2 linked regions of the Canis lupus familiaris genome follow. The protein of the gene in region 2 purifies or fractionates together with the protein of the main gene of each other region. This does not show direct contact. Links are inferred from orthologs where the notes say so. Each region holds a gene or a part of one and is shown on either strand. Other genes may lie near its edges.

Region 1 (3,743 bases), on a different chromosome or scaffold from region 2:
TCATTGGTTAACTTGCAACAAGAAAATTTGACAGAACTCTCACTTGACTGTGAAGTACTTTTAGAAGGCAACTGTGATGTGCTAGTCTGAGAACTACTCTTAGAAGCCAGCTGGGACACACTTGCTAAGGAAGTGCTTTTGGAAACCAGAGATCCGCTGGTCTGGGAGCTGCTCTTGGAAGCTAACAGTGATGCAGCTACCTGCGAAGTGCTTTTGGAAGTCAGCAGAGATGTACTTGTCGATGTGCTGCTCTTGGGAGTTAGTAGGGATGTGCCTGATGAGGAAGTATTTTTAGAAACAGATGAAGAAACACTTGCCTCTGAACTAGTTTTGGAAGTTAACCCACCTGAAGCTGTCTCTGAACTAGGCTTGGAAGACAACAGTGGCAGCTCTCCTTCTGAGCTTCCAGAGGAGCCCAACAAGGGCACCTCAATCTCCGAGATACTTTGAGAAGCTGAGACTGAAGAACCTTCCAAAGCACTCTTTTTAGGTGATCCACTTTGTTGTCTGGAATCAGTAGATTGGGTCATGTGACTATTCACACTGGATTTCAACAACGAAGAAACAATGGAGGCTGAACCATGTTTATCTGGAGCTTCTGATTCCAAAGCTTTTCCAGACCCTGCCGCTGTTACCTGAGAGGAAATGCTGCTACTATTTTGGCTGGAAAGAGATCGATCTCCATCACCTGTAGAGCTATTCTGACTCGAGGTGCCAGAGCTTCGAGTGGCGTTCCCACTTTCTGGCTTCACAGATGACCCCGTACATGTTGAGCTGTTTTCCTGCTGAGCTGATGCACGTTCTGTTTTGGCAGAAAGTTTTGCATGCTCTTGCTCAACTGCAGAATTGTTTCTTCCTTCTAGGAGTCGTTTCTTCGCTGGCTCTTCTACCCCTTCTAAAAAGAAGGAAAACAGATATGTGACTAAGTCTAGCTCGTATGCATCACCTGAAAATTTACAAGACAGATACTTGTCAAAAGAAAGACAGAAGTCCAAAAAAAAAAAAAAAAAAAAAATCAGGACTAGTAATTTCTTTAAGAAAGAAAATGCGGAATAACTTCATTAATTTCTTACAACAGTGTTGAATAATAGAATTTAATTTCTGATATTAAACAAAATCAACGGCATAGACATTCGACACTTGAAATCTAACGCGGTCAAAGTTAACTATCAAAACCAGTGCCTGAAACACACACACACACACACACACACACACAATTGAGGCTTTAACATTCCAACTTGATTAATAACATCGTATACATTCTAGCTTGTTAAAAAAAATTAATTATACAATTCCTAATTATATCAAACTTATGTTCTAAACTCCTATGTATGTTCACATCTATGATCTGCTAACCATTGCTACTCGATATCCCTCTTTTCTTCACCTTGGCAACCAGTTCGTCTCTTGTTGTATGGATTGGAGCATCTGTCACTTTGATGCCTTCAGCCATACTAAGTATTTTATCCATAACTTTTTGTGGGTACCTGAAGGAGGAAAAACAAAACAAAAAACAAAAAAAACAAAAAGACGCTTTTAAAAAGTGTTTTTTCCCCAAGCTACCACTCTGGGTGTGCAAAAACAAACAAACAAACAGAAACAGGCCACAGGAACTGCATTTCCTGGTTGTGATCAAGAAAAGTGTACGAGCCGCCAGGAACTTTCGGTTTCCTGCAACCCCAGAAACCCACGCCCCAGGGGCAGGGGGGCGGGGTGCTCCCCGAGCGCGCGGCCGGCCGAGCCCCCAGCGGCCTCCCCCCCGCCCCCCGCCCCCCACCCCCCGCCCAGCGCGGGGCCGGCTGTTGCCGCCGCGGCTTCTGGCTGAGGCGCCCCGCTCGGCCTCAGAGGGCGGCCCGTCCCGCGGCTTCCCGCGCTTCCCGCCTTCCCCTCGCCGCTGAGGCCTGGCGGCGGCTGACACAACCGGGAGGGCCGGGCAGGGGCGCTTCCTCACTCACCGGCACCCGAGAAAGACGTGGTTCGCCCAGGCCATGGAGAAGGAGACGAGCTGCTGCAGCTGCCGATGGCGGCTCCCGCTCTCGGCGTCGGCAGCTGCCTCCGCGTCAGGCCCGGTCGGGGCCAGGCCCCCGGCGTTGCGGAGCAGGAACTCCCGGCGGTGGCGCCAGTGTTTGTCAGTCTCGCCGTCGCAGCGCAGCGCCTCCACCCAGGCGGCCGCCCGCGGGTTCTGGCTCAGGTACTCCGACACCTCCTGCGCCATGTTGGGCCTGCGGGGCGCGGAGGCCGCGAGCAGACGCTGCGCCGGGAAGAGAGGCGGGTGCGCGCGGGCGGCGAGCGGCCCTGTCAGCGCGGCCTGCACCGCGGCCCTCCGGAGAACGCCCCTCGCGACGCCCGAACGCCACACAACAGCGCCCGCGGCCGCCGAACCGCCCACTTCCGCCCGCCGCCGGCTCCTTCCCTTTTATAACCTCGCCGCCGCCGAGCGCCCGCGCGTCCTTCCGGCGCGGGCCGGCTCTCCCAGGACGCTTTGCGGCGCCCCGGCCGGGCGGGGGGTAGGGAGGGGAGGGGAGGGGGCGGGGCGGGCGAGCGCAGGGGGAGGCGAGCGCTCGCGCCTCCCGCTCCCGCCTCCCGCTCCCGCCTCTGCCCGGGGCGCCCCGGCTTCGGCTTTGTGACGCCGCCGCGCTCCCGCCGCCTCCCTCCCTCCCGCGCCCCGCCGGCCCCGGCGCGCGTACGGAGCGGGGCCCGAACGCACGAGAGCCCGCCCCCCGTCTCTTCGATCCCGTCCGAGCGCCGTCCCGGGTGTAGACGGGCGAGGCCTTCGGAGGCGGCCCCGGACGCCGCGGCGTTTTACGAATGTGCAAGGGTTTGCGTGTAAATAGCAGGAGGGGGGCGGCGTCTGGGCAAGTGGGCTCCCGCGCGCCGGCCCCGCGGCCCGGGCGGCCCCGAGCCTCTCCGCGTGCCCCGTCTTCTCCCCCCTTGCGTCCGTTTCCGCTGCGTGACGTCCACGCTTGACCTTCCTGGAGCGTTTTGCAGCGTTTTCTTCCCTCTTGCGTTCGTTTGCATTGCATGATGTCCACGCTCAACAACATTCCTGGAGGCTTTTGCAGCGTCTTCTCCCTCCTTGCGTTCGTTTCCGCTGCGTGAGGTCCACGCTTGACCTTCCTGGAGGCTTGCTTAGCGCCACGCGTCCAGTCTCAGGGACACGTGCTTTCGGGATGAATCCCTTTTAGTAAGGGGCGGTGCAATCATCCCAAATTACGAGGCACAAAGGAAATTTTCCTTGCGTTCAGTGTTTGTGGACTTTGGTTCGAAAATGGCTCGAATCCGGATGATCAAGCCAAAAAAAAAAAAAAAAAAGCCACTTAAACTCGATTAAGATTTTTTTTTCTTTAACGTAATTTATATACATGCAGGAGTGATCACCATCTATCATGTGAAAATAACACAGCCCACTCTCCGGTTAGCACCTAGTGAAACTTGGTAAAAAGGCGGGCACAAAGGAGTTTTGAAGCTTAGGATGTTGCTTCTCATTTGGTTCTTCTTTCCTCCTTTTCTTTTTTTAAAGATTTTTATTTATTTATGATAGTCACAGAGAGAGAGGCAGAGACACAGGCGGAGGGAGAAGCAGGCTCCACGCAGGGATCCCGATGCGGGACTCGATCCCGGGTGTCCAGGGTCACACCCTGGGCCGAAGGCAGGCGCCAAACCACTGAGCCGCCCAGGCGTCCCTCTTTCCCCCTTTTCATTGAAAATTTCTGAGTCTTGAAGAGGGGTGAAAGGCTGCGGAA
Region 2 (3,743 bases):
GCACCTTAAAAGATGCCCCGTATCATTTGTCACTAGGGAAACGCAAATTAAAATGAGATAAAACTATATTAGAAGGACTAAAACTGAAAATATTAACCATACCAGGTGTTGACAAGGAAACAGAGCAACTAGAACTCTGGTAAACTACTAGTGGCAATGTAAAATTGTACAACCACTTGGGAAAACAGTCTGGCAAGCTTTCCTGCTGAAATAACCACACACCTACCATACAATTCAATCACTTCACTCCTAGGTATTTTCTCTAAAGAAATGAAAGCATAGAACAATACTTGGTACATGTTCAACACTAAATAAGCGTGTTGGTTAAATGTATTTTCAAACTCAAACTACGCTTACCTAATGATCATTCATGTTTACAAGGCTAGAACGGACCCAGAAAGCTCACATCCCACATAGCACTTCTTAAAAACTCCTCTGAAAGTAAAAACCAAGGATTAAGCCAAAAAAAAAAAAAAAAAATGATCACAGTCCATCCAACTGAACGGAAAGAATTGTTAGAAACCTCAAGCAGCAGCTTTTCAGCAAGCCTAAATAACCAGGTTTGACAGCAACAGAAAAAAAAAAAAAAAACTTCAAGAAGCAGTCTCCAAGGTGAAAGTAGACTTGATAGAATACCTGAGACAACAGGGAGTTTGGATGGGGAACCATGTAAAGTGGAAGAGAACACCAACACTAAGAAAAAGACAAAAGTAGCACATAACATGAATCAGAATTGTAACGATAACTGAGAATATCATTTGATTTTTTTCTGTTTTTTTTTTTTTTTTTTTTTAAGATTTTATTTATTAGGGAGCGAGAGAGACAGACATTACAAGTGGAGGAAAGGGCAGAGGGACAAGCAGACTCCTTGAAGAGTATGGATCTTCACGCAGGGCTCGATCCCAGGCCCCCATGATCACGACCTGAGCCAAAATCAGACACTTAACTGACTGAGCCACCCAGATGCCCCTAAATTTTTTGGCTTTTAAAACGAACCAGTGTCACCAACACTGTGCCTGACAATTTAATTTTTGATGCCAACAAGGGAAAAGTGTAGCTGACAAGTTGGGTGAAGAGTAACCGCAGCTGGAGTAGAAAAGCTAATACCTAAGCTTTGACAGTGAAAAGTCAGGGATTCTTTATATAGGAGATACAATAAAAAATAAAAGGCATCTTACCAATTTTACCCTTCGAAGAAATAAAGATAGTGATGTACTATTATTAGGAGGATGGGGGGGAGGGTTGCATAAGTGACTAAATCCTCTTCTATCATAGCTGGAATTCCATAGCTAGATCCAAAACCAGTAAATCAGGTATAAACATGATATTCAGAGACAGAAACAAAACAGAAGTGGTTATCACTAGAAAGTAAAAATGGAAATGAGATATAAGATCTCATTATTATTACAAGATGTAATAAAGTCTGATATGTTTTCAAAAACAAAAGAAATGAGCATTCAGATAAATAGTTTCTCTTTATTAAAAGCACAAGGAATACTGGGAATGCCATCACAAGGCTTTCGATTCCTCCTTGTATAGCAAATAAGCAAAAATCAAAATCTCACCAGCTTTAACAAAAGAACCAAGTTTTCACAGTGACGGCTGGGTACTTCCTTCAAAAACAAAGGTGTGGGAGGCAGGATATGCGCTCGAACCTTCACAATCCGAAAATTCTAATAACTAAGAGTACAAAGCCGAACTCGGATTGGAAACACGGAAGCGATAAATGCAAAACCGAAGAATGGGCAAAAGTCTACACGTGCATTAACAACAGAAAGTGTATTCTTAGAGTGCATCCAGGAATTCCGCACATTTTAGCAAGCAGGCTGTCCGACAGCAGGGCACCCCGACTTCTCTCGTCCTAGACGTTTCTGCGGGGCTGCTTTCGCCGTAAGATGTTAACTACAGCAAGAAACGGCCTCTCACACTGGGAGAAAACCCCTCCGGCACGGACAGGCAACAACGCGAAGCTCGCCGCCGGATACTGCTTTCAAGGCTGTTAAGGGCCAGGATCAGCCCCTGCAACCCTAATTCGGCCAAGTCAGCGGAGCGGCCGGGAGGAGCTCCGCAGACTTAAGTCTCCCGAAACCCGACCGCGCGGGGCCTGGAGGAAACAAAGCCGTGGGCGGGGCCTTCTGGTCCCGGAAAAAGCGGGCAAGGGAGGTACAGCCCTCAAGTGAGTTGGTACCGGGTAGGCCCTCGCCCCGCCCGCTTTTCCCGGCCCCGACTCCGTGTACCGCCGCCCAGCAGTGGGTCGGGCCACCCCAGCCCGCGGGGCCGAGCGGGCGGCGACGGACCCCGCGCGATGCCCTCCGGGCAGGCGGTGAGCGCCGAGGGCCGCGGCCTAGACGCGCCGGAGCGCCAGGCCGCGGCCGGGAGACCGTCAGGCGCCTCCTCACCTTCTCTTCCACGCAGTTGACAATGATGGACGGGTACTTGCGGCTGAGCCACCGAAAGAAAGCCGGGACTCCCATTGCAGCTGCCCAGTTGGAGGCGGCGGCCCGGCCGGCGGACGAACGTAACCGGAGAGACAAGCGGGAGCGGCGGGCCGCGGGCACCGGCACTTCCTCCCACGTGCGCGCCGGCGACAGGAAGTGACGTCACGCCCACGCCGTCGCGGTCGGTGACCTCCCGGGGGCGGGGCTCGGCCGCCGGCGGGGTGGGCGGCCCGCGGCGTGCGGGGTCCGGCCCAGTCCGCGCCCCGGCGCGTCTGAGTGGTGCGGCCCCGCGCGGTTCCTCGCCGCGGCTCCCCTAGGTTGCGCAGTGCTGCGCCCAGCAGTTTTCCGCGGAGCCCTGGGCGGGGTGCATCACCTGTGTCTCGCCGGGCGCAGTTCCCAAAACCAGAGCGTCTAACCCCGCTCGTTGTTTCTGCTTCCTCGGTCCTCTCGGTTTTGTGACACTGTATGTACCTGGACTGTTAAAAGGAGCACATTAGATATTTTGCTCCCACGGTATTTGGTCGCACACGAGTTCACTCTCCATACTGAAGAAATAGAACCTAGCCGGCGTTTAGCGTTTAATTCAGTTTTCCGGCTACATTTATAATTGCTGGTACCCAGTTGGCTGGGCGTTTACGGTGCGCGAAAGCACTGGGTAAGGGATTGTCTCATTTAATCGTCGCTCGAGCCTTAAGGTGCGATTACATCTTGATGTAACAGATGAGAAAGTCGGGTTCTAGGGGGATTTAGTCACTTGTTTATTCGCGCAGCTTGTGTTTCAGTCCAACTAAAGATCACTGAATCCTCTATCCTTGCACTAACAGGATACTTTTATCCTTTGTTTTGTGGTGGCTTCAAATAGATTTTTCCAGAGCGTAAAAAGAGAGGTCTGAAAGAGGAGGTACTTATGTCCATTTGCTCAAGCTTGGAAGCCTCTTTTCCTGGAATCCCCTCTGGGCTTGACAAATCACACTCAATCCTAAAGGCTCACCTCAAGAGGCCTCTGAAAGTATTTCTCCTTGCCACCTGGCATGCAATATGCATTGCCCCCCTCCTCTGTCATCTGATGCCATTTTGTTTAAACTTGGTGTCGAAATTAGAGAAACGGTTATCCCATAGTTAACCTAAGGACAGCTGAAACTATTAGTGTCTGGGGTAAAAACCCCTCATTTCTCCTGGAAACGGTTCCTCCTCAAGTATTTGGTCTCCTTGGGAGGTGTTATGTTCTTACAGGAAGCTGGGTGACTTGGGCCATTACTTAATGGCCTTCCCCATGGTGCAAGAAATGAGGAGAGCAAGAGCTCA

What was found.
Region 1: the proteins of XRN2 (region 2) and CDKN2AIP purify together in Homo sapiens (affinity purification with mass spectrometry; 4 studies listed by BioGRID and IntAct, with this or other methods). This does not show direct contact. The link is inferred for Canis lupus familiaris from reciprocal best matches to the Homo sapiens genes XRN2 and CDKN2AIP.

What each region holds. Positions count from the first base shown.
Region 1 is NC_049237.1:47,836,056-47,839,798, forward strand, and holds the start of CDKN2AIP (CDKN2A-interacting protein), read right to left. Parts: upstream 2,317-3,743; 5' UTR 2,216-2,316; coding exon 1,956-2,215; intron 1,488-1,955; coding exon 1,357-1,487; intron 896-1,356; coding exon 1-895. UniProt on the Homo sapiens protein: Regulates DNA damage response in a dose-dependent manner through a number of signaling pathways involved in cell proliferation, apoptosis and senescence.
Region 2 is NC_049245.1:2,510,890-2,514,632, forward strand, and holds the start of XRN2 (5'-3' exoribonuclease 2), read right to left. Parts: upstream 2,585-3,743; 5' UTR 2,475-2,584; coding exon 2,400-2,474; intron 1-2,399. UniProt on the Homo sapiens protein: Possesses 5'->3' exoribonuclease activity. May promote the termination of transcription by RNA polymerase II.